Linked DNA regions of Arabidopsis thaliana. The protein of the gene in region 1 interacts with the protein of each later gene in a pairwise test. Each region holds a gene or a part of one and is shown in the gene's direction. Other genes may lie near its edges.

What was found.
Region 2: the proteins of AT3G62790 (region 1) and AT1G26660 interact in a two-hybrid assay, tested with the Arabidopsis thaliana proteins (one large-scale study listed by BioGRID).
Region 3: the proteins of AT3G62790 (region 1) and BZIP24 interact in a two-hybrid assay, tested with the Arabidopsis thaliana proteins (one large-scale study listed by BioGRID).

The regions. Positions count from the first base shown.
Region 1 is NC_003074.8:23,221,646-23,232,221, reverse strand, and holds AT3G62790 (NADH-ubiquinone oxidoreductase-like protein), read left to right. Parts: upstream 1-7,895; 5' UTR 7,896-8,000; coding exon 8,001-8,150; intron 8,151-8,799; coding exon 8,800-8,901; 3' UTR 8,902-9,192; downstream 9,193-10,576. Other genes in the region: AT3G62820 (Plant invertase/pectin methylesterase inhibitor superfamily protein), read right to left, coding at 1,856-2,440; AT3G62810 (complex 1 family protein / LVR family protein), read right to left, coding at 4,042-4,121, 4,219-4,459; DRB4 (double-stranded-RNA-binding protein 4), read left to right, coding at 5,059-5,289, 5,379-5,760, 6,019-6,473; AT3G62780 (Calcium-dependent lipid-binding (CaLB domain) family protein), read left to right, coding at 9,297-10,193. UniProt on the Arabidopsis thaliana protein: Accessory subunit of the mitochondrial membrane respiratory chain NADH dehydrogenase (Complex I), that is believed not to be involved in catalysis. Complex I functions in the transfer of electrons from NADH to the respiratory chain.
Region 2 is NC_003070.9:9,203,144-9,214,451, forward strand, and holds AT1G26660 (Prefoldin chaperone subunit family protein), read left to right. Parts: upstream 1-8,620; 5' UTR 8,621-8,742; intron 8,743-9,152; 5' UTR 9,153-9,154; coding exon 9,155-9,246; intron 9,247-9,361; coding exon 9,362-9,466; intron 9,467-9,697; coding exon 9,698-9,799; intron 9,800-10,076; coding exon 10,077-10,184; intron 10,185-10,338; coding exon 10,339-10,393; intron 10,394-10,550; coding exon 10,551-10,622; 3' UTR 10,623-10,732; downstream 10,733-11,308. Other genes in the region: FBR12 (Eukaryotic translation initiation factor 5A-1 (eIF-5A 1) protein), read left to right, coding at 2,825-2,944, 3,309-3,431, 3,529-3,585, 3,674-3,748, 3,851-3,955; AT1G26640 (Amino acid kinase family protein), read right to left, coding at 4,477-4,572, 4,674-4,777, 4,874-4,936, 5,011-5,083, 5,178-5,255, 5,342-5,377, 5,466-5,522, 5,607-5,668 and 4 more; AT1G26650 (Son of sevenless protein), read left to right, coding at 7,192-8,199.
Region 3 is NC_003074.8:19,277,977-19,289,145, reverse strand, and holds BZIP24 (basic leucine zipper 24), read left to right. Parts: upstream 1-4,953; 5' UTR 4,954-5,081; coding exon 5,082-5,140; exon of another isoform or gene 5,141-5,296; coding exon 5,297-5,492; intron 5,493-5,577; coding exon 5,578-5,884; intron 5,885-6,193; coding exon 6,194-6,318; 3' UTR 6,319-6,756; downstream 6,757-11,169. Other genes in the region: AT3G51990 (Protein kinase superfamily protein), read right to left, coding at 69-1,157; AT3G51980 (ARM repeat superfamily protein), read left to right, coding at 1,644-1,863, 1,942-2,033, 2,110-2,260, 2,369-2,496, 2,592-2,750, 2,840-3,025, 3,123-3,335; ASAT1 (acyl-CoA sterol acyl transferase 1), read right to left, coding at 3,689-4,726; AT3G51950 (Zinc finger (CCCH-type) family protein / RNA recognition motif (RRM)-containing protein), read left to right, coding at 8,739-9,412, 9,512-9,676, 9,765-9,950, 10,038-10,105, 10,191-10,479, 10,557-10,736, 10,842-10,902. UniProt on the Arabidopsis thaliana protein: Transcription factor involved in the regulation of salt stress response. Functions as a negative transcriptional regulator of salt stress acclimation response by regulating cation homeostasis.

The DNA.
Region 1 (10,576 bases):
CACGAAAACACATATTATATGTTTTTTTAATACTCAATTTGTAATTAATGAAATGATAGGTTCGTTAGGTATGGTAATCTCACGTAAACAAAGTCAATGCCAAACCCTAACTTAGCACTCAAAGCCAGATTGGTGTGAGCTTTGAGTGATTTCGACGTTCGTATTTTTCAATTATAGCATAAACATGATATTTAAAATTTGTAATAATATAAAAGCATGTCCTAACAAACTAAACAGTTTTTTACAAAGCACATTCATAACGCTTTTGACCATCAGGGTTGGAAAAACGTGATTTGTATTAGATTCAAAAATTGCCTATGAGATTAAATGTGACGACTTATTCTTATTTTATTTGGTTATTTTGTTAACTTCAAATTTTTTCAAAAAGGAGCCAAAGAGTAAAAGGTAAATCCAATTTAATTAGTGGTAGATCTCTACGACCCCATTTTGTAACAGTGTTTTTTACCGAGTGATTACGATTGTCTAAGTAGTTTAGAAAAAAATGGAATGGTCTAGAATAAAAGAAAACCCGTTTTGATTGAAACTAACCATATATTTGAAACATTTGCTCAAACACAATTATTTGATTATAGTTAATGAAACTTGTATATTTTGAGTTACGTCCTTAAGTGTTTCTGATTATATAAGATAAAGCCTTTGCTTATTACGACACAATAACACATGGTTAAACCATGATGGTTTGGATCTACCTTTAATAGCTACATATGAATTATACTATCAATATTTTACTAGCTTTACGATCTGAAAAGATAATTTACACTAAGTAGCGACGGCGTCTACCTCCCTCCCTCCCTAAACACCTCCCTCGGCGTCTCCCTCCCTGCGCAAAACTACAAAATTCCTAACTTGTGATCTAAACAAATCACAAAAAAACTTCAGACTCGGATGTGAATACAATTTTTTTGAAAAATGGAAGAGCATTGGTGTTTTATGTTTACGTTGACTTGTGATGCTAACCTGGCGGTTAGCTAGTTATGTCACCCCACATCTCCTTCACTTTCTTGCCTAACTTTTTAGATTCGCGATGGCTAATAATTGAATTTCTTATAAATAATTGTTTTTTTCTTTCTCTAATCAACTTCTTTGTTTTCTTATAAATAACAATTAAATTTTATACCCATTTAAAACTAATGGAATAAGACTAGCTAACTACAATGTTAGGAAGGATCTCTTATATGAAACTATGTATATGTAAGTGACAAAATCAAAGCATCTTGTTTTAAAAAGTTATATACTGATCTTAACAATATGAAACAAAATATATAATTAACACGGTGATATATACATGTAGACAAAACAAAAGTTGCAACTACCTAAACATATGATATGAAGCAACAATAATATGCTATCAAAGTAATAATTGCGCTATATTTGTATGAAATTCGTTTAGCAATGTTGTGGCGTTAAGAGTAAGAAAATTTCAAGTTATTATCGTAAAAGGAATTAAAATGGTTTATGGAAAGGACTAAAACGAGTTATAGTAGTTAGACAAAATCTTTTTGAGTGTTTAACCAAGAAAAAAATATCTTTCGAGTGATTTTTATTAGGTTTTTATCACCGACTTCTTCTCACGTTTTGACTTGATGAGAGAGAGGTTCGTTACTCGTTAGGTGGCATGGGCTTGTGACGGTCGAATAAAAATGACAATACTTGACTAATAACATTGGCCCAATATAGGACATTAGGCCCATTATTATTTCGCCTGTAAATAATTCCATTATAATGAGAGAGATACAGTTATCGTAGTGATCAGCCATGAACCACCTTATTAATAATATGATCTTACACTTTCATGGAAAATTAAAGCTTTTGTAAAAGTTTATGATTTAAGAGATTACAAACCATTAGCCGCTAGCTTGTTGAGGAGTGCGAGAGAATTGCTGGACAAGTACATAGACGTCGTGACTCTCTTCCGAATCATCCTGACCGTTGATGATGACCTCGTCGATGTCTTTTCAAACCCATCAAGACACGTGTCCTTGTCAGTGAGGGAAGAGCTAAGCCACGTAGCAAGATCACTCATCTGCTGCTGAAACTCGCTGGCTCTGAGTGTCCGGAGGACGGCCAAGGACTTGTGGAGACTATCAAGAGAGTCTTGGAGAAGTTCGCGACAATCCGACAAAGCGATTCGGTCTCGTTTCCCAATCGTTGAAAGCCTCGTTTTGAGAAGGTGTCTAAGGACGTCTTTGTTGTCGGTTATGGCAACGGAAACGCCGGCACGTGCCCATTTGCTGGGACTGTTCTTGGCGACTGATGCAAACGGCAATAGCGTTTTAGCGCAGAGGTCTTGGTAGCGTGTAACACTACACGCGTTTTGAACGTAGCTTTCGCGTTTGGACGGTAATGATGAAGTTGGGTTGAGAGAAAGGAGAAAGAAGACGAGTGCAAACGTGATAGAAGAACTCATGGGAGTTTTCATGTTTTGTGAGAATTGTAATCTTTATACAAAATTAATTGGTGTCTCGACGAGAGATCGTATATATAGACACGTATAAATTTAATTTAGGGGTTTTGGTAGGTTTTAAAGTGAAAGTATAAAAAGTATGGCGGTCCATTTGTAGGTGTCGGAGTTATGATCACAACATTTCGTTCTAACACTTCGTTCGATTTTATTAATTTGTTGTTTTGCCGATAACAATTCGTTGGTTTAGTTATCTCGTATTATGATTACTATGTTGAATAGAAATATCATTATTTTTTTTACCATTTTCAACAACTACTCCAACCTAATAAAACTAGTGATCGATCTATTTATTTATTTATTGTTTTGCTAATCATTGAGCTTATTCTTACTCTACCAGGCGGACTTAACAAAGATTGAAAACGTAATTTGTCGCATCTCTTATGCAACGAAGTGATAAGAAGAGTGAGTATAAATCCTTCTATGATAATATTTATTTCATCAATGGCTACGAATATATGGTATATATGAAACTGTTTATAAATGGAAGATGAGCTAGTTGTGTACGGAATGAGGTTTTGGTACCTTACATCGAAAAAGCTACATTATGTAGTTTTGTCATCGCCATGAGGCCCATGACCATATCTCTTTTCGAATCCATTTTTTTAGTTACCTTTTTCTTTATTCACGACATGGCTACTTTCTTTAGGACGTGCGTGAGTTCTTATATACAACATAATCACGTAATGCGTGAGCATTTATGAATACAGCTAAAGAATTGAATCAAACTCACATGAATTGAGAGAACAAAGTATATGTGGTTATGACGATTCACATGATTCCTATGAAACAATGCTCTTCAACACAAGAATCTAAGGATTGCACACCAGCGAGAAGATGACTGAGACACTAATAAGAGAAAGCTAGAACTCTGAACTTAAAATCATGAATGGAGATGATAAAAAAGGACTTCTGAGCAAATGCTGTGGACACTCATGAATGGGGGTAAATCTTGACAGATTGTGTAGTGGTTTTCATTGGAAAATGAACCATACTTCTCGGACCCCGTATCAACAATATAGGTTCTATTTTATTGGTTTGAAAAACTAGAGTGACCATCACGGCTTCAATCTTCTCGCGTCAACTCTATTTCAAACTTCCCATCAGACTCTGTGAAACAATCGGGGACAAGGAAATCTAGATAGATGACGAAACCTAAGCTTATGTAGGAAATAATTATATTTCAATCTAACAATAAAAGTGACATGGATTTGAAAATGATACAAAAGATGGGTCTCTACGACAAGACAAGGCTTCTAAGATTTGAGAATGACACAAAAGATGGGTCTCTACGACAAGACAATGCTTCTAAGAAAAGTAGAAAAGTGAGGTCTACAGTCTAACATACAACATAATCAATATTAGCCATGGATGTAAGTGAATTCTGTAATTCTTGTTTTGAAATGGACGAATCTCATCCAAAAATGTATGTAAAGAGCTTCTTATTGATTCAACTTGGCCGTGAAAAGAGAAAACAAACAGAGAAGCATAAAAAGGATCCACCTTTCCCGATCAAACAAAACGAGTAAGGGAGAAGTAATCCAATTTCAGACTTACACTCATACAGATTTTTTCCGAAGCATCTCCTCTGATGGAAGCTCCAAAGTAGCTCCCGCGTGTTCCTGACTTGCTTTCATCTCTACGACACAGAAAAATCAAATTTCCAAAGATATGAGCTTTCACTCACGCATTTCAACAAACAGATGGTGCGCAAGATAAAAAGAGTCAGAACGAACCATATCCGCCGCGTTCGTTGAGTTTAGCCTGGACGATCATGGTGGAAATGAACTGCGTCGCTTCACGCGCCTCTTCTAGAAGGCGAGTGATGTCGGAGTTAGAAGCCACGAGGCGATTCTCTTCGAATTTCTTACGGATCTCGGACGCCGAAGCTTTTAGCATCTCGGTATCTCCGGCGAATGATTTCTTTGTTGCCCTGAGCAGTGCTCTGTACGCGATCAACGCTTCTCCGGTCACCATTTCTGCTCTTTCCCCTTTCAACCTCCGCCGTCGTCTCCCTCCCAAAATTGGATTTAGAAATTTGGTCGCCGACAACCTTCTGATCAACTTCGAGTTTCATTGGGCCTTTACAACTTTCATGAATAAGCCCAATTTTGGCCCATTAATGGATTATTTCGGATCATACCCGTTCAAGCTGGGTTAACCCGAATCTTTCGTATCCTTGAGACAATTTACATGTGTATACTTATTATGGTTTCTCGATGAGTTTCAATCAGCGAATGCTTTGTCTGATTGTTCACTTCCTCCCTCGAAGTGTCTTCACCATTTCAAAGAGGTACGATTTTGTGTTTATAATCGTAGATTCCTTTCGCTGTTTTGATGTTATCGATCTGTACGAAACCCTAGATCATTGAGTCTGACCAATTCTGAAATTCGTCTCTTCGTTTGCCATTTATGTTTGAGAAATTCTGATACATGTTGTCATGTTGATCTCTTTATGTTTGGTTGACCAATTCTGAAATCTGAAATTCGTCTCTTCGTTTGCCATTTATGTTTGAGAAATTCTGATACACGTTGATCTCTTTATGTTTGGTTAATTCCTGCCAGTTTAGATAGAGATGGATCATGTATACAAAGGTCAACTGCAAGCGTATGCCCTGCAACATAATCTGGAGCTACCAGTGTATGCGAATGAGAGAGAAGGGCCTCCTCATGCTCCTAGATTTAGATGTAATGTTACATTCTGTGGACAGACTTTCCAGAGCTCTGAATTCTTTCCGACACTAAAATCGGCTGAACATGCCGCTGCAAAAATTGCAGTTGCTTCTTTGACGCCACAAAGTCCAGAGGCTAGTTCCTCACACTCTTTTTGGACTACAAGTTATGTGCTTTTTCAACATTTGTTTAAATTTTGATTTTCAAATTTTTGTTGTTTCAGGGAATTGATGTTGCCTACAAGAACCTGTTACAAGAAATTGCACAGAAAGAGAGTTCTCTGTTACCATTTTATGCAACTGCTACATCTGGTCCATCGCATGCGCCTACTTTTACTTCAACTGTTGAGTTTGCTGGTAAAGTTTTCAGTGGAGAAGAGGCGAAAACCAAAAAGTTGGCTGAAATGAGCGCTGCTAAAGTTGCATTCATGAGTATCAAAAATGGGAACTCGAACCAGACCGGATCGCCTACTTTGCCTAGTGAGAGACAAGAAGATGTAAATTCAAATGTGAAGAGCAGTCCACAAGAGATCCATTCTCAACCTTCTTCCAAGGTGGTGATGACCCCTGATACCCCATCAAAGGGGATTAAAGTGAATGAAGATGGTTAGTTTTCTTTGAATACTACACTACATGAATAATCCGTTGGTTTGTTTGTTAAAGGAAAAACTCTCTTTCTTTGTTATAACTTGTGGTCCAATCAGAGGGACGTATTTTCCTGAGATAGGTAGGAAACAGCTATGAAATAAGAAAGCCAACCTTACTTTAACTGCATGAAATGGATTCCAATTTCAGTTTAATGCTAAATGGTCAAGATGGTTAATTCATTCAAAACTCATGCTCTACAGTCTTGATTCTGTGCAGAATTTCCAGATCTTCATGATGCACCAGCCAGTAATGCTAAGGAGATTAACGTTGCTTTGAATGAGCCTGAGAATCCTACAAACGATGGTACTCTTAGTGCACTAACTACTGATGGTATGAAGATGAACATTGCTTCTTCTTCTTTGCCTATACCTCACAATCCTACAAACGTTATTACTCTTAATGCACCAGCTGCCAATGGTATCAAGAGGAACATTGCTGCTTGTTCTTCGTGGATGCCTCAGAATCCCACAAACGATGGTAGTGAAACATCATCATGTGTAGTAGATGAGAGTGAGAAAAAGAAGCTCATAATGGGAACTGGCCACCTGAGTATACCAACTGGCCAACATGTAGTTTGTCGCCCATGGAACCCCGAGATAACTCTTCCTCAAGACGCGGAGATGCTCTTTAGAGATGATAAATTTATAGCCTATCGTCTTGTGAAGCCATAACGACATCATCATCTTTGATGCATAATAAGTGTAGAGATAGAATGTTAAGGTAAGCTATATCTCATCTGTTTGTAGAAATAGAATGCTTCTCGTCTCTGGTTTTCTTAAGCAATATGCTATGTAGTATGTATACTGTGTAATGACTAATTTTTGTTTTAAAGCATTGTGTTTATTAGAAACAAGGCGAGATTAAATGTTAATAGATTATGGAAAAGCTTAACAGAATAAATATTAAATAGTAAGATGTAGACATAAGCAAAACCAGCTAGATAAGTAACCGCTTCAAGTAGAATATTTGTAACGATAACCGAATATAATTAGAGACACTAGAGTAGAGGTAAGCAAAATATTTGGGAACAGCAATTCCATCACGATATTAGATATTCGAGACCGGTGCGGAGATGTGCTGATGATTTTCGGAAGACATTCAGGTTGTACATAGCTAAGTCCATATTGGTACCCACAAGTGCTGATTTTCCGAACAGATCCTGGTTGTGAACGAAGCAGGGTGTGCCAGCAGTGCCAAGGCACAGAGTCCTTATTTTCTCTCTTAAATTTTAGGGTCCTAATTTATAGGAATTTTTATTTTTCTAGATAAAATTACAATGGTTGAATAGAACTACAAGTGTATTACGTTTACAAGAGACAGTAAACACTGCCACGTAAACTAAAATTTTTTGGATTTAAAGGTTTAAAGGGGATATTTTTTTTTTTAGCACAGAACCCAAAATAATATTGAGTCGGGCCTGGAACGAAGTGAGACTAAATTTTCGACGAAAGAAGTTATAACACAAAAGTCTGGAGAGGCAACAAAGGTAGTCTGTCTCTGGGTAATATTTGAACAACCTTTTCTCACTCTCACATAAGAAAAGATTCCCTAGCTTAGAAACAGCCATGGGCGTGAACTACCTTCTCCAAAACAATGAAAAGCAATTGTTTTCTTTAAAAGTGGAAAATTAACTATTAAATTTGAAAAAACAACCCAAACATTTTTTAATACCGTAAAAATACTAGAATTAAACTTTACCAAAAATTAATATAATTCTTTAAAAAAAAACTAAAGTCATATTTAATTAAATGTTTTATATATAAAATATATAACATTATATATGACATATAAATTACTATCATATATAGTCCGTAATGGCCATTAAGAACTGCTAAATCAGGGGTTTGAAATTCTAATCCACCAACAAGTCAAACATAAAGGAACTTTTGCACTTTTTTTTTTTCGACAGCAGACTAAATTTTATTAAACTATTAAAAGCCTAGTAACAAAGTAACAACAATTCCTGCTTAATGTTAAGGAACGGGTAAAATTCTGGTAATAATTACCTTCACACTAACGTAATTACAGGAATTGATATCTCAAAGTTGGGCCCATGAAGTGTTTACGTTAAAGCCCATAATATAAAGGCACATTTATTTCGGGTTCTAATTGGATTAACCTGAATAGATCGGATCCTCGGAAATCAGGCGAAGAAGACGACTAAATTTCTCCTGGGATTAGAGAGAGAGGAAGGAAAAATGGCGTCGGGGTGGGGGATAACGGGAAACAAAGGGAGGTGTTACGATTTCTGGATGGATTTCAGCGAATGTATGTCTCATTGCAGAGAGCCCAAAGACTGTACTCTTCTTCGTGAAGACTACCTCGAGTGTCTTCACCATTCCAAAGAGGTTAGGTTTCGCCTTTTTCCTTTTTTTAGGGTTTCTTTCAATTATCGTTCCTGTGTTGTTGTATGTGTCATCAATTCACGCTTTTGATTGCTTGATCTGTTTCATTGATGATTCGTCCTGTTATCGGTCGTCTGTACGATCATCGATAGTTTCTGGATCACGAGTTTAAGTCATTCCTAGATCCGTTGGAACAATCTCTCAGTCTGGTCGTTTCGTTTGCTACATGTATAAAAACATAAGCTTTCTTTTTGCTTGAAACTAGAAAAGTTGAATTGCAATCTCCCAAGTATATATGTGGATGCTTTCACTAGGTTGCTTGTAGGGATTAGGTTAATATAATACCACTTCCCTTATCTGAGATTTAGTTTCATGGCCATGAATTGTTTAGCTGTTAAGTTTGGAAGTTGAGACTTACTCTTTATCTCTTGTCTCTGTTTGATCTTTCAAATGGAACGATATTGTCTCTCTTCTCTATGTGTTGAAATCATAAATTTGAATGAAACTGAATGTATAGGCTTGCGTGTGAACTTTTGAGGGAATCAAAAGCTTTATTATTGTTGTCTCCAATATTGTTTCTTTCTTCTTTGCTTAGTATAAGCCTATGGTAGATGAACTGATAAGGAGCGCATATTTGTGTATTTTGATCTAGTTCCAACGAAGAAACAGGATATACAAAGAAGAACAACGTAAACTAAGAGCTGCATCAAGGAAAGGCGAAGAAACCGGGGATGGGACTCATACTCATCACTAGTCGAGATTTTCCTCCTATCTCCAAAGTTTGCATCTTTCGAAGAATAAACAAAAGTTTCTTGAAGATTTCTGTATCTTGTGTGCCAAACTTCATTTGATCGTATTCAGTTTGCTTTTGCAATGGATTTTTTTGTCTTTGCTTTGTCTATTACCTTTGACCGAGTTGTAATATGCCTTTGGCTACTCGTCAAACACAGACTCCTTCTTTAATGGTAATAATTACTCCTACAGTTATATTAAAATCATTATTCGAGAGACATTAAAAACAGAACAGTGGGTGGAATAATGAAAAGGTCCTCTATAAATAGTTGTCATTGACTTTCACTTAGTCTTCTCTGCAACTCCTATATGTAATGTGTCTAGAGAGAACCAGCTTTTTCATTGGGTAATATCAAAATGGGGACGAGATCTCTAGAAATAAATGTGACATCAGCAAAAGGGCTTAAGAAAGTGTCGAAGATGGATGTTTTTGTGGCCGTGAAGTTATCCGGTGATCCAAAATGCTCTGACCACCGTGAGCAGCGGACACAAGCGGCAAGAGACGGTGGAACCAGCCCCAAATGGAGCAATGATGTCATGAAGTTCATCCTCGACCAAAACTTAGCAGAGGCTAACCGCCTTGTGATCACTTTCAAGATCAAGTGCGAGCAACGTGGAGGAGTAGATAAAGACATCGGCGAGGTTCATGTTCAGGTGAAAGAACTTCTGGATCATCTTGGAAACGATAAGACCGGTCAAAGATACGTCACATATCAAATCGGGAAATCCAAAGCCGATATTAGTTTCACTTATTCGTTCACAGGTCCGGTGGAGGTCCCGACCGGTGGCGGCTGCTCACGGTACGCAGCTCAAGCGCCGGTGCGTCCTGTATCGACCTACCGGCCCGTTTTGAACGGACCCATGTTGAGTCAGTTGAACGGACCCGTGTTGAGCCAGTTGAACGGTCCCGTGTTGAGTCAGTTGAATGGTCCCGTGTTGAGTCAGTTGCAGGGACCCGTGTTGAGCCAGTTGAACGGACCCGTGTTGAGTCAGTTGCTACCAAGTGTTGGATCGTTTAGTTACAACCACGTTCCTTGTCAGCCACCGATTTATCCACCACTTGCTCAGCCTGAGATTCTTCCACCGGTATGCTTCCCCGGATTGTATCCGCCGAGTAACATGCCGGGAAGTCCACCCACAATGTATCAATCTATATTTCCTGGCTTATCATGTCCACCAGAAGGTTATTCAACGGTGGCTCCGCCGCTGACACAACCGGGACTATATCCACCGATGAGTCCTTACAGATATTAATTGATTGTCAACGTCTGGAAGCCTAGTCGTCGGTTTGGAGATTTGTTGATTTTATTTAACTAATGATGTCATCAATTCCCCCAACTTGTGTGTGTGTTCTTTTTCTTCGAACTCAACATAAAAATTGTTGTGTGTTTTTTTCTCTCTTTCTAACAAAATCACACCCTAAATTGTTACGTTCTTTACTTAGACGTTTTTGGTTTGTAAAATGCTCTATCTGTATCATGTTTGTACTGTCTTGTACTCTCCAAAAATGGTTCACCATTGATGAATGATGCACCTGGTTAATATATATAACAAACCTTTTTGGAAAAAGAATAAAAATTGTTGCGTTTTTTTTATTTTTGAAAAATCTTCTTCATAATATTATTTCTACATTTTTT
Region 2 (11,308 bases), on another chromosome or scaffold:
TAACAGGAGGAAGTAAAACTTGTATCATAAAGTGAGTTCTAAGCAGACAATCATAAACTTGTATCATAAAGTGAGTTCTAAGCAGACAATCATAAACTTGTATCATAATATTGGTAAGTATTTAGAACAAATAAAATGTTGAGTTTTATACGAAAACATGGTATTTTATCTGATGTCATGTTGCTTTCTATAAACTTCCATTCATACATGGCTACTATTTTACACGACACCACTCTAGTTTATCCGACTATACATTATTTAATAAACTAGTAAGTAATTAACAATCATGTGCGATGGAAAATGAGATTTAGGTACCCACATATTTATGATTTTTTTTATTGAGATTTATTTTGCAAATCAGTTCAAATTTTTGGTTTTTAGCATGTTAGTTCAATAATTAACAAAGAAATTAAACATTTGTATGTACAATAACATTTTATGAGGAAATTAACATATGACAAAGTTCTAGTCGATAATAAGTTCATGCCTTTCAAACAAGATGAAAAAGGATATTTAGCAAAAAATTGATATGTCTAAGTTTATTCAAGTTTTTAGTTTTCTAAGGACAATTAATCATGCTCAATTGCTCATAATGAAATGCATCATATCATTATATGATTTGGTTTTGCTTATAAATCATAAATCATAAATGACGTTTCCCTTACGAAAAATATCAAATTTTTATATATGAAAGATAATGGGCCGTAAATGATCAGTCCCATATAGCCCATTCCAAGTACGCAACTCATTTCTGGAGATGTTCGTGGAGGTTTTCGAATTTGGTTTTGTTTCCCAAATACCCAAAATATCATCAAGCATAATGGGCCGTAAATGCTCTTTGATTTAGCTTCCTAAAAGCCCAAAATAGCATCAAGTCTTAGTCTATAGGGCTATAATTGTCAAAATGAGCCAGCTCGCTCAGCTCAGCTCACCTCATGATGAACTTGGATCTTTTATGAGCCAGCTCAGCTCAACTCATTTATTATATGAGCTTCAAAATACAAACTCGGACTCAGATCATCTAAATCACGAGCTAAATGAGCTAGCTCGCGAGCTAATGCGAATAAATGAAAAAATTTATATTTTCTAAACTTGTTATGTAAATTATATATTTTTAAAAATATATTTCTATTTTTATAGATTATATAAATATTTATGTTTTGATTATTGACTTTTTGTGTATATTACTAATATTTATTTTCAGAAATTGTTATGTAACTTCTATATTTTCTAAAATATATTTCTATTATTTATAGAAAAATATATATATACTTTGATTGTTAGCTTTTTGTATATATTACTTCAAAAAAACCAAGCTCATGTTCATTAAAGCTCGCTCATATAACTCGTGAGCTAAATAAAGCTCGATCACTAAACTCATTTATTAAATGATCCTTAAAAATAGAACTCGCGCTCATGAATAACTGAGCCGAGTTGAGCCAGCTCATGAGCTATCAGCTTATTTTGACACCCCTAGCTATAACCAAAACTGAAGATCTCTTGAGTGTTGCATCAAACTACTATTTTTAATCAATAGTTAGCTTTTTTTTGTTATATTATCAATTAAATATTAACTTTTATTTGATTAAATATTTATTTAAATTTAATTTTGATTTTAAAATTTATCGTGCAAAATTTAGACTAAAAAGTTATATACTCAATTGTTTTTCATATTCGTTTCTTATGAAATTCATATACTCATGTGTATTGGATTTAATTGTAGTGATTTATTTTGTAATGAAAAAGTTAATATTTTTAATTAATAATACAAAAAAATAATTTCTTTACTATATCTTAAAAATTTTAAATTATTTTTTTTACATTTTAAGTTTAGTTATTAAATCAAAAAATAATTCTAGATTTCATGTAACTGAATTTTTTTTTTTGAAAATTAAATCTCGCCTTTAGAGTAAAAAAAAACTCTATTTTTTTAGTTATGTAGTCTGTAATATGAGGAATTAGATGTCACAAGCTAAAGTGGGGCCGCATGGAATGCACGCGAGAGATGCAAGAGAGAGAAAAAAATAAAATCGGGAAAATCTAAATCGTTGAGAGATTATAATCCAACAGCTGAGAAATAGGATAAATTATCAAACTAGAGAAACTTTGGCAGCTTTGGATGCTGAGAATGAGTAAATGTCAATGAATGAGAAGGCAAACAATTAAGGAGAAGCAACACAAAGTGAAACACAATCTACTCAAGCAGCTACTACGGTATTTAACTCTAATAAACGCTTAAAGTTTGATGTTCGGAAAGAGTTTAGACCCATGTTAGAAGTTGTTTAGATTTTTTCACTACTTTTGTATTTCTGTTTTAAATTAGAATCTTTGATGAAATTCTGTTTTGTATAATCTTTTAAATTATTAATGTTTGAGTGAATTTTGGATTTATAAATTTGTTAGAAACTTTGATTAAATTAAAGAATTAAAATCAATTAAGGGTAACAAATAAAGTTTTTTATACAAAATACAAAATACATGATTCAATTTAAATACATATGACAGTGAATATAATATATATGTCAAATACAGAAATAAATACAATTTAAAATATCTATATAAAATACAGTTTTTTTGAATCCTTTTTTTTTTATGAAGAGGCCTGTTTTGAGTTTGGGCTGGGCTGAATTGTTTTTACCCACCACAACATTCCTAAGGATAATAATACAGTAACCCTAGAAAGGTTTCCTCCACCTTCCTCTTCCCCTCCTATATAAAAAAAATCGACATCGCTTTTGCTCACTTCTCTCTCTTAGGTTTTTTTTCCCTTCTCCCAATCTCATCTTCTCCGAAAACCTTTCTTCTCTCAAATTTCTGTGAAAACATGTCTGACGACGAGCACCACTTTGAGGCCAGCGAATCCGGAGCTTCCAAGACCTATCCTCAATCAGCCGGTAACATCCGTAAAGGTGGTCACATCGTCATCAAAAACCGTCCCTGCAAGGTCTGATTTCTATTTCATCATCAAACATCGTTCTCGATCTCTTTTTCCTGATTCTAGATCTCGTCTCTGTATAGTAGCTCCTTGATTTTGTTTTTATCCTCGGATTTGACCTGGTTCTGTTTAGTTTGAATTTTTCTTATAGATCGCTACTTAGATGAATATGATGAATCTTATCCTGTTATTTTGATGGTGGTACCTCTCTAGATTCGTGGAATTTTGGGAAATGAAAATGAAAAATGGATAGAAATCAAGCAATATCAGACGACGCCTTTTGTGATTTTGAATCTAAGTAGTCTATTGATTGATTTGATTTAAACGTTTATGGAGAACATAGATTTGATTTTGATATTTTGGTTTTGATTAGGTTGTTGAGGTTTCGACTTCCAAAACTGGCAAGCACGGTCACGCCAAATGTCACTTTGTTGCTATTGATATCTTCACTGCTAAGAAGCTTGAAGATATTGTTCCATCTTCCCACAATTGTGATGTAAGTTACTACACAAACTATGTAGATTCATTTTCACAGTATTTGATATGATTGTGTGATCTGACTCAAATATTGTTCCTTTCTCTTTTTTTCTCAGGTTCCACATGTGAACCGTGTTGATTACCAGTTGATTGATATCACTGAGGATGGCTTCGTATGTTTTTCTTTATACTCACTTTCCTCATCACTCCAGCTTTATTTATCTATTCTTGCCATAACTTTTGTACTTGTTTACATTATAGGTGAGCCTTCTCACTGACAGTGGTGGCACCAAGGATGATCTCAAGCTTCCCACCGATGATGGTCTCACCGCCCAGGTTATTTTCTTGTCTTTTCATACTCGCACACAAATGACTTGACTTTGTATTCATCTCTCGAATTGTGATATTGAAAACAGTTGTTGTGTTTTGTTAATGCAGATGAGGCTTGGATTCGATGAGGGAAAGGATATTGTGGTGTCTGTCATGTCTTCCATGGGAGAGGAGCAGATCTGTGCCGTCAAGGAAGTTGGTGGTGGCAAGTAAACAAGTATCATTCGATATATTATTACCAGTTTGACAACGGACGTCAATGTTATAAGAACCAAAAGATGTTTTTCTTTTTCCTAATTTAGACCCTTTGTGTGTGTTTCTTGTTGCAAGACAACCATATCTATTGGTTTTGGATTGTTGGAAAAGTTTGTGTTGAAACATTCAAAGTTTCTTATGAGATGTTATTCTTAAAACCACTTTTTGTTTGTTCACTGGATATGTTTGTTCATGAAGCTTGTTTTAAGCAACTCTTTACATGATATTCATTGCTATTTGCACGATTCAAGAGTGACATATACATTTTATTTAACAATAACAGTGTAAGATATGTGATTGAATACTTGTGGAAACATAGAGTTACACAGGCTGCGATAGTATTCGACATTTTAACTGGTTTTGACATTACACGATTTTGTATTCCTTGCACAAAGTCTGGTAAAACAGTAATAGCAAGAAAAGGTCAATGCTTTCCTTTGTTGAGGAACTGGAATTAGTGTATTTGTCAGGAGATTATTCTACTTTGAGAATCTGATGATAGTACCAAGCCAATCTTCAGGAACACTATCTCTCAAATCACCGTTTAGTGCTCTCTGTGAATGAGTTGTCGCAGCCTGTTTGAGGAGATTGAAAAAAAGAGCATGATGGCGGTTAAAAGCTCCATCTTTATCTAAGATATTTAGTTGGTTAAAGGCAAAAGTTGTCTATAATCTACCTTCACAATGTAGACATCGACTCCAAGTTTTGCAATCATAGCAGCTTCTGATATCTTCGTTTCCATTCCACCGGTTGTATCGTGCGCCGCAACAGAGTAGTCAACTGTTTGATTCCAAAAATCAGAGAGGTTTGAACTTTTAACAAATCCCTCAGACTTATTGTATTGCATAGTTTTACAACATTGGTTCTTTCGTTTACCTTTCTTGTCTGTGTGCTCCAACAGTGGATTCACAACCTTCCAGCTTCCATCTTCTCCAACAGCTGCATGAACTGTTAGTATCAGGCCAAGTCTGGAAAAGATATAAAAAAAACAAACAGTAAAGTTTGAAACTAACCGATCTCTTTCAAGAGCACAGCGTCGGGCTCTGAAGGTGAAGGTGGTCGATCGTAGACACCTAGTACATCTGTCTTTGTAAAGAGTTACTCAGATAACAAAGAATATATAGGAAAGAGGGAGAGAGAACACAAATTAAATTTCCGGTTTATACTATGAATAGGATACGAGAAAGACAACATATTCTGGCTTCAAATGATCTGCAAGATGACGGATGATAACATCACCACTCAATATGGTGCAGCCCTGTTCAGGACAAGATTTTCAACTGTTCAAATTCTAAACGGACAAGAATCTAGATAGCTATTTGGTATCTCTGGAGAGCATATTACCAGTATATTGTCCAGCACTGCATCTCCATGGAGAACCTGGCCATGACAAAAATTACTGTCCAAATTACAGTCAAGAGACTTTGGTAAACATCTACCTAATTTCACTGGTGGGATCAAAACTTACAGGGACAAATCCTGAGTCTATGGTTTTAGCTACGGTTGCTAGATCTGCAGAAGCCACCTAATGCAAAAAGCAGTCTCATTGAAATCTAAACCCACATGCTTCAGATCAGGAAATATGTTAAGAAGTTCAGTTAGCTCTTACATCTCTTTTGGAGGTTGACCAACCACATGAAAATGGAGACATGCCTATCGTAGGAATGCCCTCTGCAAGAGATCATAATGTTTAGCTTCAAAATTCATCTTTTCCTCTTAGCCAGAGTAGGAAAAGAGAATAAGCTTAAGAGATACCTCGGGCTAGTGCTCGTACAATTTCAAGATTAAGATTTGTCACCTGCAAAAAGAAGTTGTAGACTATCAGAACAGCTCAAGACTATCTTACGTAAGAGCATCAGATTTAGCTAACAGTCTCACAGATATACGAGTAGCAACGAAACCAGCTTTGACAATAGGTTTCTCAAGTCCTCCTTTGTGAACCCCAGATCTACTGGCCTGAAAGTGCCCAAAGGAACCTAATGACAAAAATCAGAACAACACATAAGAAACCCAAAAACTAAATAACAGCTCAACTAACACAAGCAGGTCAATGATCTGTAAGAGCTAAATCAAAAATGTATTTTGATCCTTCATTATAAGATTTAAGCAGATAAGAATCAATCTCCAACTAACCAGCGCCATGAACCACAACAAATTTACTAAACTCAGAAGACTTTTGATCCCCTATGTCATCCACATCACAAGAAATCTCAGAGCTTCCAGGTCTCTTGCTCCAATCCATGCCAATAACCTTGCTTGGAGCTGAACCCTCCAACATAGCTTGACGTAACTGACACGCCACGACCTCCAGATTTTCATCGTGAATCTTCTCCAGCTCGTTTTTGCAAGTAATTGCCGCACCTCCTATCAAATCATTTAGACATTCTGCTGTTACAAAGTCTAGACAGGTAAAATTGATGGGAAATGAATAAAAGACAGATCTTTAAAGTCTTTCCTCATCTTCGGTATTCAATAGTCAAATCAGAATCAAACCCATAAGACAGAACAACTAAAATGCGATCTAAGAATCGATCCAGCAAGTATTTTAATAGGGATCAAAAGACAAACCAAGTTTCACAATGCAACGAATTGATCTGCTTCGACTCTCGGAAATATTCAGCTCCATTGTTGCGTCTCTCTCTAAAGCTCTCGTCTTTAGTGGTCAACGGTATGTCTCTCTCTCCCGCTCTAACTCAACTTCATCGTACTCGTATCCTTCTTCTTGCCATTTCCCATTCACCGGAAAGATTCTCTCTTTTTTTTTTTTTTTTTTTCCATAGAAATATTCTTCTTTTTATTCCTCTAAAGAAGCCCATTAAGCTATTATTGGGCCTAACCAAATTGATCAATTTTTTCAAACCGGGTTTATGGTTTAGTGTTTTAAGGTTTCAGTTAAATTAGCGGTTTAGCTTCAAGTTCGCGATGGAGTAGAAGAAGATTACCTCCGACAAAAGCACGTTCACTTGTGCCACCGACAAAATTGGAAATCTTACATTTTTTGTTTTCTCTAATCAAAATTATTGTTGGAACGTAGACAAGATCCGTTCCAAGATTCGTCTTTTTTTTTCAATTTGATTCCTGGGTTATCTGAAAGATCTTCTCTTTGCTTCGATTTCTATCTCCGCTGCTTGTGAAATCAACCTTTATGGTATGTAATCTCGAACTCAGCTAAAACACACTTCACTCTCGGAAACATGGAGACGGAAACGAATCAGGTTTTACGGAAACCGGAGCTAAAATCATACAGTCACAAACAATTTCACTCCTCAAATGCGTTAGAGATCTTAAGAGAAACAGTTCGAATTCTCCGGTACAATCTTGGTGCTTTAATGTTAACTACTGCTGTTTTGATCTGTCCTGTCTCTGCTTTGCTCTTACCAAACTTTTTAGTTGATCAATCATTAGTGAATAAACTCACAGTGAAGCTTCTTTTAGTGGCGAAATCAAGTGGTCTTCCTTTGCAGCCTTTTGTCAAACATTCTTGTCAGAAATTCGCTGAAACTGCTGTTTCGTCTGCAATGTGTTTCCCTGTGTTTATCACTGTGTCTCTGTTGTCTAAAGCAGCTGTGGTTTACTCAGTGGATTGTTCTTACTCGAGGGAAGTAGTTGATATAAGCAAGTTCTTGGTTATATTGCAGAAGATATGGAGGAGAGTTGTGTTCACTTACGTTTGGATTTGCATTCTGATTGTTGGTTGCTTCACTTTCTTTTGCGTTCTTCTTGTAGCAATCTGCAGTTCCTTCTCTGTTCTCGGCTTCTCTCCAGATTTCAATGTTTATGGAGCTATGCTAGTTGGTTTAGCCTTCTCTGTAGTTTTCGCTAACGCGATTATAATCTGCAACACTGCGATTGTGATCTCGGTTTTGGAAGATGTTTCAGGGTTAGGAGCATTGATGAGAGCTAGTGATTTGATCAAAGGGCAGATTCAGGTTGGTTTGTTGATGTTCCTTGGATCAACTTTAGGATTGGCGTTTGTGGAAGGATTGTTTGATCACAGAGTGAAGAAAGTTAGTTATGGAGATGGCTCTTCGAGGTTATGGGAAGGACCTCTTTTGGTGTTGATGTATTCCTTTGTGACACTTATAGATTCGATGATGAGTGCAGTGTTCTATTTTAGCTGCCGAGTTTATTATAGTATGGAAGCTTCTAGAGGTGAAACTCAGCCAATCATGGAAACGGTTACGGTTGTGGATGCTGAGTAATGGTGCGTTGTGCGGATCAAACTCGGTGAATGGACATGGAAACGTATTAGCTGAAGAAGAAGTTGTATATCATCAAATGGGGTTTTATTGAGCACTTTTTGTTTCACTTTGAAACTTGATGCATCTTTAAGGTTTTTGTTATATATGGTTTCTCTGTTTACATTGTTTGAAGATTATATAGCATCCCAAGTTCGTTCATAGTTCTGCTCTTGTTTCTTTTTAGCCAGTTTGATTGAGTCTTGAAAATCTTGGGCGTAAAATAGTAAAATTAAAAAGTAGGTGGGCCTTTATGCAAGGTAATTATATTACAAAGGACTTGAAATTAAAACCAAAAGTAAGAACAAACCGGTTCGCATGGTTTAAATAATCTGTGCTCGAGCGGTCAAATTGTAAAACCACCAAATAATTCTTCGTCTCCCTCACCGTCGCGGCGTCGCCACTCGCCGTCACAACCACCGTCGTTCAACATCACTGTCACCAAAAGAATCACCGTCGTTCGGTCGTGACGTGTCTGGACCTATTTCATCTCTTTGCTCGTGACTCGTGAGTCAAATACTCTTGGACCTTTGCTGTTATCTGTACCTCTAATTTTGTGATTTTCAGATTCCTTCTCGTTTATCGAGTTGGATTCTCTGTATTTGAATGTATTTTTGATAGGGTTTCGTTTGGAAACCAATTTGATTCTCATATTTAAAGTGTAGTTACGTGGTTTGTGTTCTCTCTTGGGGATGTTCACCACCTGTTCGATGAAATGCTTCTACGTATTAGTTTGATGCAATTTCTGTATAGTTTCGACGCTCTCCGAGCTTGTATTTAGATATTGATGGTTAGGTGACTCTAGATTCTGAAACGAACATTTCAAGGCTCTAGAAACTTATTCTGGACTAAGTTTATCAAATAAACAAGGGGATGGTTAGAGCCTTAAGCTTGATATGTTTATGTTCGCATTGCAGTAATGGAGGAGGGACGTCAAAAAGACTTGCAATTGTTGGAGGAGATTATCGACAAAGGTTTGAAACAGAAGCTTGTACATGCAACTGCTTCACGGTATTTATATTTACTTCCTTTTCAGATCAAAATTAAAATTGTGAGTATGATATTAAAGTGTATGTAGGATTAGTTTAGTTTGTTTTCTTTGCATGCTATTCACTTTTTGTTTGAGGTTTCGATTCATTGTGGTCTCTGCATTTGTTGGTTTTGCAGGGACAAGATCTTTGAAGAACAAAAAACACTGTATCCTTTTGTATAGGGAAGACTCTAGCTTCTCGTGATGTGCATCATCTTGTTAAGCTGATCCTAAGTGTTTTGTTAGTTTCTCCCATGTCTTAACCCTATCAAAGATGACGGGTTCATTTACCAGTCAGTTTTTGACTTAGTTTTGTGTTTCTAAATCGAGAGGAACTCTTCTTGGTGTAGTTATTGACAATACTTTGCTGTTCTAGTGAAATCTAATTCGGTTGAAATATTCTTGTTTCCTTGACGGTTACTCCCACTCCAGCTCTGACTTGCGGAAAAACCTAGAAACTCTGGAGAAGAATGGTGTAAATAGTCTCAAAACAAGGGTCAACCTTGGTTCAGAAGTTTACATGCAAGCTGAAGTGTACGTTACTTATAGCTTTGGTTCTTTCGTTTAATTTTAGTCAAGTCATTTAGCTATGAAAGGTCATGCATTGTCTGCATACAATGAAATACACTGTCTCCATACACAGCTTAATGCAATTAAGAAGTGTGCTTTTACTGTGTTCTGTATGTTAGAAGCTAGTTATGTATTATTGAGCAGAAAACGTTTAATAAATGGGGATTAAAATAGGAGATGCTTTCTACCAGGTTTGCTTCTGATTTCGTTTCACTTGACTTGGGTGTTTGTTTGAGTTCAGGCCAGATACTCGGCACATATTCATGGATGTAGGCCTCGGCTTTTATGTGGAGTTCACACGGCAAGAAGCTCTTGACTATATAGCACAAAGGGAGGAAAGAACTCAAAAGTAAGAGAAATCTTTGCTTTTCTAGTTTTCTTGCTCCATGTACAAGGAAAATATGGTTGTATCATTGTATATGATGAATGAGTTCTCCGGTGGAATGCAGTATAGTGACTGAATGTTGATGCAATATAAATGTGGTTTTTTTTGTTTTTAACAGACAACTAGAAGAGTATACTGGTGTTATTACGCAGATCAAAGGGCGCATCAAACTGGTAAGTTCAAGTTCTTATCTTGCTTTGTGATAGTAGTCAATCATTTGTCTTATGAGGTTGAATTGGACTAGAAAATCACTATTGCGTAGGAACCCTGCATCAGACGGATATATGAAAGTGTCATCGGATAAGTATTAATGTTAAATTACCATTGCAGGCTCATTACCAGATTCAGCAAATACTCAATCTTCCTGAAGAGAATCCGTCATCCCGGCAACGTGCGTTTTAGTACACTACCTAGTGGAAAGTTGAGGATTTTCTCTTGCAGTCTTATCTTCTCGATTTGTTCTGCTTACTGTTTTGAGTTTTTAAAGCAGAGAATTAACTTAGTTTGTTCAATACTAACTCTTTCTCCGGAATGGACCAAACTGTTGGTGTTAGATAAACATATCGATTAAGCAATCAAAACTTTATAGAATGACTATTGTTGTGGGGGTGAATAGTGAATCGCACTCTGTTAAATCTGCCATTTCTATTTTAAATATTAATAATCACATGTTAGAACTTAGAAGATCATTAACAGTTTAACACAGCTGATGAAGAATGAAATAAAAGTATGAACGAAACAGATACAAGATAATGATATTCCACGTCAGCAAAGTGTCCAAATATCTTCCGCTTCCCTGTCTTCGTCGGTCCCTTTTCGGTTTTCACGGTAAGGCTCGGAGGAAAACCTAATTCGTCCGGAGAATCTCCACCTCACTCTCGCCAAACGCATCTCTGTTGTAGGTAAGTCACGGATCTTCATTCTACGCTAATTGTTATTGTTATCGTTATTCTTGATCTGGGCGTTTTTGTGGAATTTGCATCTAAAATTAGAAATTTGGATACCAAAATCCACTCCAATTGAATAAGGTTTCTGAAGAATTTTCGTTTGATTTTGAGATCGAAAATTGCGTTTTCTCGTTTTTGTTT
Region 3 (11,169 bases), 3.9 Mb from region 1:
TTGACCAACCCATAAGAGAAAAAACAATGGCTTCAAAGCGAAGCACTTGATTTTAAACAAATAAAAAATCATTCCACGGGTCGACCACCCACCGTCTCGACCATCATACACGGGTTTCCAATGCTTAACTCATCCCACCGTCGTGACCTAACCGACTTAGTCAACCCCGTGAGCCACCCAACCACTTCCTCCATCCCCGGCCGTTTCTCTCTACACGTTCTCACACACTTAGCCGCCACTAACCCCAAATGATTCCTCACACTTACATCAATCGGTGGTCCGATTCTCGGATCATAAATCCCACCGATTTTGCCTCTTTTTATCATCGGAATCGCCCAATCTACTATAAACGACGGCGAATATCTAACGTCGATTGCTTTTCTTCCGCTGATTATCTCTAACAACAAGATCCCGAAGCTAAACACATCAGTTTTCGTGCTTAATCTATCAGCCGTTACGTAATCTGGATCTAAGTAACCCATTGTTCCTGCAGGTGGTGTTGATTTCACTTTTTGATCATCAACATTGCATCTGATCGCTAATCCGAAATCGCCTAGCTTCGCGTTTAGATTCTTATCCATCAATACGTTTGCTGATTTTATATCTCTGTGTATGATCGGTGTCTCTTGAGAATGTAGAAGATGTACGGCTTTTGCAATCTGAAGAGCGATTTTGATTCTCTTACTCCAGCTCGAAATCGCACCGGAGTTTAAAACGGTATCTGAGTGAATCACGTCGTATAAGCTTCCGTTTCCCATGAATTCAACAACGAGAAGTGGTTCTTTGGAGTTATCGGCGCTAAAACCTAAGAGATTCACAAACCTAGGGCTACGGATTCTGGAGAGAATCTCGAATTCGTTGTGGAACTCACGGCTGATTTCTCGAGATTTCGAAGGTCTCTTGACCGCGATGTGACGTGAACCGATGACAGCTTTGTAAACGCTTCCATGGCTTCCACGTCCGAGGAGATTGTTGATGTCGAAACCTCCTGTGGCTGATTCGAGATCGCGATGGAGGAAACGACGAAGTCTAGGACGGTCTTCAATGGGAGATTCGGGAGGAGCAGAAGCTTTGCTGGAGGTGGATCCGGAGGTTGATGCGGCAGATGAAACGGCGATTGCGACGGCGGATCCAGCTTTGCAGGAGAGATAACCCATTGAATCGAGGGAAGAAGAAGATGAAAGTGAAAGGGAAAGGTGTACGTGGAGTTTAATGGCGTGAGTCGTGAGAAGTCATTTTTGTAAATTAAGGCACATTTGATTAGACTCAAGGAAGTGGAGGGGTCGTGTTTCTAATTAATTATGCCTTTTCCTAAATATTTCAAATCCACCCTTATAGTTTTTAAAAATTCTATTTCGTACTGATAAATAATAATAGTTTCAATTTACACCCTAATTTTAGTTGACGTAAATAAGATTAATCATTCAATTGGTCCCGCTTCTGCCACCTGGCACTTTAATGTTTTAGCGCGATAGAAGGTGACGATGGATGAGATGACGTGTAATAATATAATTGGCTGAACACGTTGTTAAGGAGTAGTTACTTTCGTATATAAATTCTGAAAACATAAATGGTAAAGTCGCAAAACGGGAAAAAGCTTAAACCTTTATTTACTGATTAAGTCTACCGCCGGGAAGACAAAGATGCCGACGATTTTCTTTTTCCGATATGTGTTTCTATTGGTGGTGATCTCATTGGTGGGTTTTTCGATCGCTGAGAAAGTTAACTCTTCCGGGGGAATGGTCTGGTCTAGTGTTAGAGATGAAGCCGAATTGGTAGAAGATTCCGGTGTGGTGATCGGAGAGCAAGATCAAATCGATGGTGGATTCTCTTCACTTGATGGGATGTTACACTGGGCAATAGGTAAATTTTCTTTCTCAGTGTCCTTCTTCCTCACTAATTTCATTTAGATCTGATTCTATGTTGGATATCTTCGGTTAGGTCACTCGGATCCTGCGACATTGAAGGAAGCAGCTAAAGATGCAGAGAAGATGTCTTTGGATGAGTTACAGAAGCGTCAATTAGAGTTAAAGGTACGGACTTTGTGATTTTGGTTTTTAATTTCTGATTGCTTTGTCTCTGGAAGTTCATGAAAGTGCTCTTATATAGGAGCTGGTGGAGAAGCTGAAAATGCCGTCGAATGCGAAGTTGATGCAAATAGCGATAGATGACTTGAATAATTCATCCTTGTCTCTTGAAGATCGTCACCGTGCTTTGCAGGAACTTTTGATCCTCGTTGAACCTATTGATAATGCAAATGGTAACTGGAAGCTTGTAACTTGCTATTGAATCTTGTATATATAAATGTGTTTGTGTTACAGTTTCACATGAGTCTGATCAATTGTGGCATCATTCTTTTCTTGTGTAGATTTGAGCAAATCAGGAGGGCTTAGAGTTGTAGCAGGAGAGCTTAATCATGATGACACAGAAGTAAGGAAACTAGCTGCGTGGGTGCTCGGGAAAGCTAGCCAAAACAATCCTTTTGTTCAAGAGCAGGTTTGATTTCGTTGTACTTGTAGAGCAGAACCGTGTGTTGAAGTATAAACCGTCTGAAACACATCATGTTTCTTGTTCTGTGAATTTGGTTACAGGTTCTTGAACTTGGAGCTTTAACAACACTAATAAAGATGGTAAACTCCAGCTCTACTGAAGAAGCTGTGAAAGCACTTTTTGCTGTTTCTGCCTTGATACGAAATAATATAGCTGGTCAGGACTTGTTTTTTGCAGCACATGGATACATTATGCTTCGGGTGAGCAAACCAGAAATACATCATGTCAGGTTTTGTTCATTCATTCTCTGGATTGGAAAAAAACTAACCATGTTTCGTCGTATTTACAGGATGTAATGAACAATGGGAGCTTGGATATGAAATTGAGACGGAAAGCTGTATTCTTAGTCGGTGATTTGGCTGAGTCTCAACTACAGAACACAGAGAAAGATGAACTTCCTATTTTCAAAGATCGTCTTTTCCTAAAGTCTGTTGTCGATTTGATTGTGGTGCTTGATCTTGATCTCCAAGAAAAGGTAGAACTATTACAGGGGCCTATGACCGTTTTTCTTCCTCTATGAATCTTGGCACACATCTCTTTCTAACTTATGCTACTCGGAAAATATGTTTCAGGCTCTTACAGCAATCCAAACTCTTCTTCAACTTAAATCCATAGAGCCTCAGGTTCTCAAAGAGTCCTGCGGGTTGGAAGAAGCATTAGAGAGAATGAAGCTACAGCTGGAGGAATCAATGGCGGATGAATACAAGAGAGACTATGCTGCAGATGTGGAGAGCATTCGTGGTGAAGTGGAACTGATCTTCCGCCAAAAGCTTGGACTTTTATGAACACCATGATCAGTAAGAAAGCAACTCCCTGTGCGTTAATTTCTGGTGGGAAAAGCTTTAGCTGTAGGAGTTGTAGACAAATTCTAACTGCCTTAGATAGACTTAAGATGTGTAACTTAGGCGGATCTTGCTGATCCATTTTGCATGTTATTGCCTCTACTCGAGCGGGTTTCTTCCCCTCATCTTTACTTTCATATCATGTTTGCAAGGTTTTATGTATAGTATTATGAACTTCCACAATTTTCTTGATTCGTGTGCCATGTAAATGATGGGGTTGCAGAAATGTCGGTTTTACAGTGTTAGAAAAAAATAAGTTAAAATAGAGATCACTCAAGCTTTGTCACACGGCAGGGTTAAAAAAGATATGCGGTCAGTTTCCTCCTGACCTCGACTGCAAATGCGCCTATGGCTGCGTACTCATCAAGAGCCTTCTCAACTATGTTGCACCGATTAAATTCGGGCAAGAACAGCCACAATGCCGTCACCATCACAAAAGTGAGTGTCAAAACCTGACTGATTGCTTTCGGGAATCTCCACCTACCGTTAATGGTTTTCTTGATGGCGATCTCCACGGTCGTGCAAAATCCATTTATGAGGAAGAACCACATCATCTTCCAGTCTGGCCTCAACCGTCCCATGTAGAAGAAGATGAGCTCGTGCATTATCCCAGAGACAACAAACGTCCCGAAAGCTGCAAGAATCTGGGAATAGTTCGGGCCCAAAACCGAGAACAGTTGAAGTGACGGTTCGTACACGGTTGGCCGTAAGATTCCAGTGACCATCAGGTTCCATCGTCTCCCCCAGAAATCTTGAAGTGATGTCGCTAGGTACGGCTTGTTGAACTGTGGCTCGAGCTCAAGATCCGACATGGCTCGAACCGCAGCAGCTGTGGCGGCAAGGATGATCTCAAGGGCGAAATATATGTGGATCGCGTAGAGAGTCAGCACGACTTTCTCAGGCAATTTGGTACTGTATTCGTAGGCTTTGATGATGAGAACCACAAAAACTGCCTTTATGGTATAAATCAAAGGACCCTCTGTGGATCCTTCATGGGAGTGAGTTTTTGTAGGTTTTGGGCTCAGCTGAATCTTGATGGGCAAGCAAGAGACAGCTAAGAAAATAGGGAGAGATAGGGGTTTATGGTTTGAAGAGAGAGGACCGCGCCCTAATGCAAATAATAAGAGCTTGAAATTTGCTAGCCAAGCGATGAAGAAAGCCGTGATGCCGAGTAAATGTAAGGAATATATCAAGAAAGGTACTATGAAGAAAATGAGGAAGACAGGGAAAAATAGTATGAGCCTTTTGATTCCTTTTGGAACCAATTTGGCAATGAAAAAAGTGTAACACAGTGAGATGATCACTAAACCCCATGCCTTGATGAAACTCGCCATTTTTGCTTCTTGAACTCAAATCTCGTCGGGAAGCAAGATGATGATGATAAACACGTTTACAAAACGTGTCCGCCAGCGAACACTAAATAATGATAGAGACGTGCAATAAGTTAAAATCCATGAGAAAAGTCTTCTTCTTTTTCTATACGAAACAATTTGACAATTGACATTAAAGAACCAATTCTCTTTCTTATAATATATTATTCATTGGGGTCTGGGGATATGGTAAATGGCTTTGCTTATTGTTCCGTCGTAATTTCTAGTAATAAAACCATTTCAAAGTTTGGTACAGACAAAAAAAAAAACATTTTAAGGTAATCTCAAAACCAAAAAGCCTATCAATCTTTGTACTTGGATGTTTTGTTGTTGCAAGGATTGCAGAGGAAACCAACGAGTTTCTAACTTTGATTCTCTGTAAGATTTTTCTTTCTTGGGCCATGTCAAAAAATTATAAAGAGTTGACTACTGTTTTATTCATCCACTATGTTAATCAAGAACATATTCTTCAACACCATCTTTACTTTAATCAAAAACCCTAATAATATCACCATAATTCTATGTCCCAAACAGAACAGGTGTTTTCTTTGGAGATCTTGAGTTTGGACCTCAGAATCAAAGATATATAAAGATGAATGAGGAAGAAGATAAAGATCAAGATCGAGTAACGAGAGGATGTAGTCACACTCATAGCTGTAACCCTCCAGGCCCAGAGGATGCTTCTCACTCCCACACATGCTTCCACGCTCACACTCATCTCATCATCTCTGTAATAATATCTCTTCCCTTAAGATATGGTATGTTTCTGATGATATTTTAATGGATTGTTATAGATACATATTTTTATGTTGCAGCAGGATCAGCAAGAGAATGATCATTCTGACAGTAGCAACAAGAAACGGTTATGTGGTAATAGAGAGGCAGTGAGGAAGTACAGGGAGAAGAAGAAGGCTCGCACTGCATACCTTGAAGATGAAGTGATGAGATTGCAATCTCTGAATGAGCAATTCCTTAGAAAACTTCAGAGCCAAGAAATGGTGGAAACTGAATTGATCAGACTCCGGGCTCTTCTGGTAGAGATGCAGGGGAAAATTGAAGTTGAACTTTGTAGTTTCTCGTTTCAGAAACAATGCAACGGTTCTGGTTTTGTGTTCAAAGAAGGTGATTTCTCCTACTATTTGGTTTACTAGTTGAAATTGGTTGTCAACAATCTGATACGTTGATGAAAAATTTAGCATTAAGAGGAAGAACTAGTAAATAGCTAATGAAATTTGAGCTACTGAAATTTTATTGAACAATACGAAACGCTAAAGAACTAGTTTCATTTATTTGGTTATCGTCTTAGTAAAAATCACATTTTCGAATAATGAAAACGTAAACTAATAGTAAACCATTCATCACCATCATTTTTATACAAAAGTGACCTAGACCTAATCTTGACACAATTTTGGATCTCGTGTAATCACACAGATGGATGCAACTTAGCAACAAGTAATATGATGTGTGAAGCGGCAAGAGTGGAGTGCGAGGAGGGCCAAACACTTCATGATCCTATTCAATCTTTTGTTCCTCAACCACCACCATTCTCACGTTAAGCGTTTACGGGCTGTGGTATTGTGTGTATATATATACATATGGGTTTAATTAGGGGCATAGAGGTCGGATTCCAATATAGTTAACATATACACAGATTGGTAACTTATTCTACATATGTCTATTTTAAGGGTACCAAAACATCTTGATGTGGAATTGATTTTGAAATGAAGAGGAGGATGATTGTAGATTTGTAGTTGTATGTATATATGATGATAATTGTGGGCTTAGAAGATCTTTGGGGGTCCATTTATAGATTCTCTATATGTGGGTATGGTGAATACCCAAACCAATAATAGATAAGGACTTAAGGTATGCATCATACATGCATGTGTATATCATAAATTTCAAATGCAAATGAATTCCATTGGTGTGGAATAGACTGCCCCAATCATTATTTTTTTTTTTCAATTCGCCTCAAACATTTGCGCATAATAATCATTCTCCCCCATGTAAAATTTACATGCGAATCAAATATTTCTGGATGAGTCAATGATAAGGCCGCAATGTTAGATTTTTGGGGTAAATTATTTAGCAAAGAGTATATATACTTTATAATATTGAAAACACATAATCATAGAGTGAAGTGTTAGGTGCCTCGGCTCTTGTGACTAGACTAGACCACTGCTTTTGACACCCAAAAAATAACTATTATAATCATTGCTTTCCTTTGTGGGTCATTCTTCTTTTATAAAAAGGTCCTTTCGAAATTTTAAATTTTCAAAAAATAATAATTCTTTTTTAACCCTACATTAATTTAGAACAATCATGTCTTTTCATCTTTAATCCTACCCTCTCATGAATATTTTATTAAAGCAAAAAAAAACATACTCAATACTTTGAATATGTGAAACTACGTGTGTAAGATTTTTTCTAGATAATTAGTTATGTTGCTTCAAATAAGAAACCTATGGAATTGGTCAACACATTTGACAATAAATCATATGCCCATGAGATTAATTAAGACAGATTTTAATAATGAAATGGTTTTTATTTAATTTCATGTGATCGAAGCATGCAATAATGATTGAATGAAATAAAATTCAAGTGTCTCTCACCAAACAAATAAAAGGACAATAAAAGCAGAGATTAAGCTGAGCAAATTGACAATTTGGATATGACATGCTTTTTATGTTTCCCTAATTACTCAAATTTATCTTTAAATGACAATAAAATTCTGCCGTTTCATTTTAAAATAAGCAAGTTGAAGAATAAGAAAACCAGGTAGTTTATTTAATTTTGTAATCAAACCAAAAGCTTAGCTATACTTAAAAATGTGTCCCTACCAAAATAAAATGATGAAAAATGAGAAAGAGACAGTAGGAGAGAGTGGAGACCCCAGCGATACAGCTGGTCTGCATATCAATCACCGGCGCGTGACCAACACATCCCAACGGAAGGCGCGTGTATCTTTCCTGTCCGAATGAACAAAAAAAAAAAAATGGGGTTGTGTCAGAGAACGTGCAATGCAACCATCTTTTGTTTTTAATTTGCTTTTTAAAAACAGTTTATTACACAATCTCTCTGTGTTTTTTCTATCTCTCTCTTTCTTCTTCCACTCGTGAAAGAAAGACCAGAGAGTTTTCTCCTGATCCACACAACAACAACAACACAGAGATCCCAAATCCGGAAGATATCTTCTTCTCTCATAACTCAGTTTACTCAGATTCACTGAAACATACAATTAAGTGTACGTACTTCTTCTCTTTATCTTTCTCTCTTAAATTTGATGATAAGAAGAATCTAATAATATGATGACATCTTTCTTCATCTACTATTCCCAAAGGAGCAGTAACCGTCAGTCTCTCACCTGCAGCAAAATTCACTCTTCTGCTAATAATGTTCTCCACAGAGATTCATCTATTGATCATTTTGACTTTTTCAGGTAAAGTAAATTTTTATTTCTCTTTTCGGTCTAGTAAAGTTTTACTCAAACATAGAAAGTTACGATTTTTTTTTTGTTTTGTTTTCCATGGAAAAATTCTCGGCATGCAAAAACTTTTTTTTTTTTCCTAAAAAAGTATTTACCTTTTCCTTTTTTTCTCCAACTCTTTTTCTTAAAGTGTTAATTTTTTTTCTTCTTGTAAGCACGCGAGCGAGAAGAAAACAAAAAAATGAATAGAGTAGTAACTTTTTATACTATTTCTCTTTTAAAATTTTTGGTATTTACTGGTGTTTCGCAGGAACCAGAGATGAAAAATTATAGTTAAGGTTAGTAGTAGTAGATAGGTTTAATAAATTTGTAGTTAAGTAACCCAAAAAAATAACATTAAACTAAAATCCAACACTAGAAACCAGAGAGACCCTCTTAACGACAACAACCTCTCTGTACACAAGACAACAAACACTCTCTACAAAAACACTACTCTTTCCTTCTTCTTCTCTCTACTCTATTCTAATTCTAAAGAGAGAGAGAAAAGCTATGGATGGATATGAAGCTACTAGGATTGTGCTCTCTAGAATCCAAAGCTTAGACCCTGAAAACGCATCAAAGATCATGGGTCTTCTCCTTCTTCAAGATCACGGTGAAAAAGAGATGATAAGGCTAGCTTTTGGTCCAGAGACTCTTGTTCACTCTGTTATAGTGAAAGCCAAGAAAGAGTTAGGTCTCATGAACTGTTCAAGGTCTCCGTGGAGTCATCAAGATGAGTTGATTAGCCCTAAGAACAACCGTGGCTCTTCACTCAATCCAGCTTCTTTGCCCTTTTACGCTAATGGAGGAAGATCTTCTAGGGATTTAACCAACGATTTCGAGCTCATGGATGATATGAACTCCAGAAGTACTGATTTTTTGGGCTCTGTGCATGCGAGAAGCGGTAGCTGCGTTTTGGACGGTTTAGGGTATGGTGGTGATTCTGATTTAGGGTTTGGAGGTGTGCCCTGTTCTTACTTCGCTAGAGGCTTCTGCAAAAACGGAGCTAGCTGCAGATTCGTCCACAGTGATGGAGGAGCTGATTTGGTTGGCTCCCCAAGCAGAATCGAGCTTCTTAGGTCTAACTCGGTACCCCCAAGACTTGCTCACCACTTCATGACTCGCTCTTCTCTCCCTTCTTTTTCAACTAAAGGTGTTAACTTGCAGCAAAACGATGTTCAAAGGTTTGACCTTTTTCCCAACTGCTTCTTTTGTTCATTTACTGTCAAAATGTGTTTTTTATATTTATTTATTTTTGTTAAGTTGTGTAAATTTCTGTGCAGAGCTGCTGCTGCTTTGATGATAGGAGATGAATTGCAGAAGCTTGGAAGATGGAGACCTGAAAGGATTGATCTTTCTGCTATGGCTTGTCCAGCTTCAAGACAGATCTATCTGACATTCCCTGCCGACAGTAGGTTCAGGGAGGAAGATGTGTCCAATTACTTCAGGTAATTTCCAACAAAACACATTGAACTTTTATTTGGTCTGAATGTATGTTCTTGTATGTGACATAAGATGTTGTTATGGTGGTTATAGTACTTTTGGACCAGTTCAAGATGTGAGGATACCATATCAGCAAAAGAGAATGTTTGGTTTTGTGACATTTGTGTACCCTGAGACTGTTAAGAGCATTCTCGCCAAAGGGAATCCTCACTTTGTGTGTGATTCCAGAGTTCTTGTCAAGCCTTACAAGGAGAAAGGCAAAGTCCCTGACAAATACAGGTACTTATATTGCTAGTATTAGTAACTCTTATACTTTGGCCTGATTGTTCCTTGAATCCCTTGTGTTTACTGCGGTTTGTTGTGCAGAACTAACCAAACAACAGAGCGAGAACTGTCCCCAACAGGCCTTGATTCTAGCCCTAGGGACGTTCTAGGTAAACAAACACTAAAGCACTTGTCTCTTTTGGTTTTACTGAAGAACCCTTTACTTGCAGCCATACTGATTTGCTTGTTGTGCAGGAGGGAGAGGGTTTTATAACAACACTCAAGATGTGTTGTGGAGGAGTAAGTTTGAAGAAGAGATTCTTGAACTTCAGAGCAGAAGGCTGATGAATCTGCAGCTTCTTGACGTCAAGAAGCATTTCCAACTCAATTCCCCTACCAACATTCACTCTCCGAATCCTTTCAGCCAATCACTTATATCTCCACGCCCATTGTCCGTGATCAAGAGAGAGTATGATGGAGGAGAGAAAGGGAAAGGAAGTTCTAAAGAAGGATCTGATGATGATACAATGAATCTACCAGAGAGGTAGGTTTATATACAAGAGTTCTCTGCAAGGAAACTGTTTTGTGTATTTTAAGCTGAAGCTTTTTGGGGTGTTTTAGGTTGGAGGATAGCTTGCCAGATAGTCCGTTTGCATCGCCCGCTCATCATTTGCTTCTGTTTGCTGATTCTGCTGACAATAACGGATCGGATCTGTGGTCGCCTTCTTCTGATAATGATGATAATTCTACTCCTTCTACACTCTCCGACTCCTTCAACTCTTTCAACTACCAAATGCCAAGGTCCCTAGATTCAACCACACTTTATGTTTTACTCCTTCTACACACTTTAATTTCTGGTATCAAGTTGATGGTATCTAACATTGCGTTCATGAATCTTCTCAATAGGTTACCGGCGATTGGAATGTTACCCGGTAGGGGTGGACCAACCTGTCGTGTTGGGATATAAACAGGTAAAAAGAGTTAATGGATGGTGAAACACAAAATAACAATCTTGTTAGGTTAATAGTTTGTTTGTTGTGGTTGTTGTTTTTGTTACAGGAAGTGAAGTAAGAAAAGAAAAAAACTGATAAAATAGAGAGACCCTTAATAACCAAAAAGATGCAGAGGTGTAAAAAATAAAAAGCAGGAAATTTGATGTAAGAGATAGGAGAAGAGAAAGAAGGAAGATTGTTGTACCATTTCTCTAGTTTTAATGTGTTATGTGATGATGGAC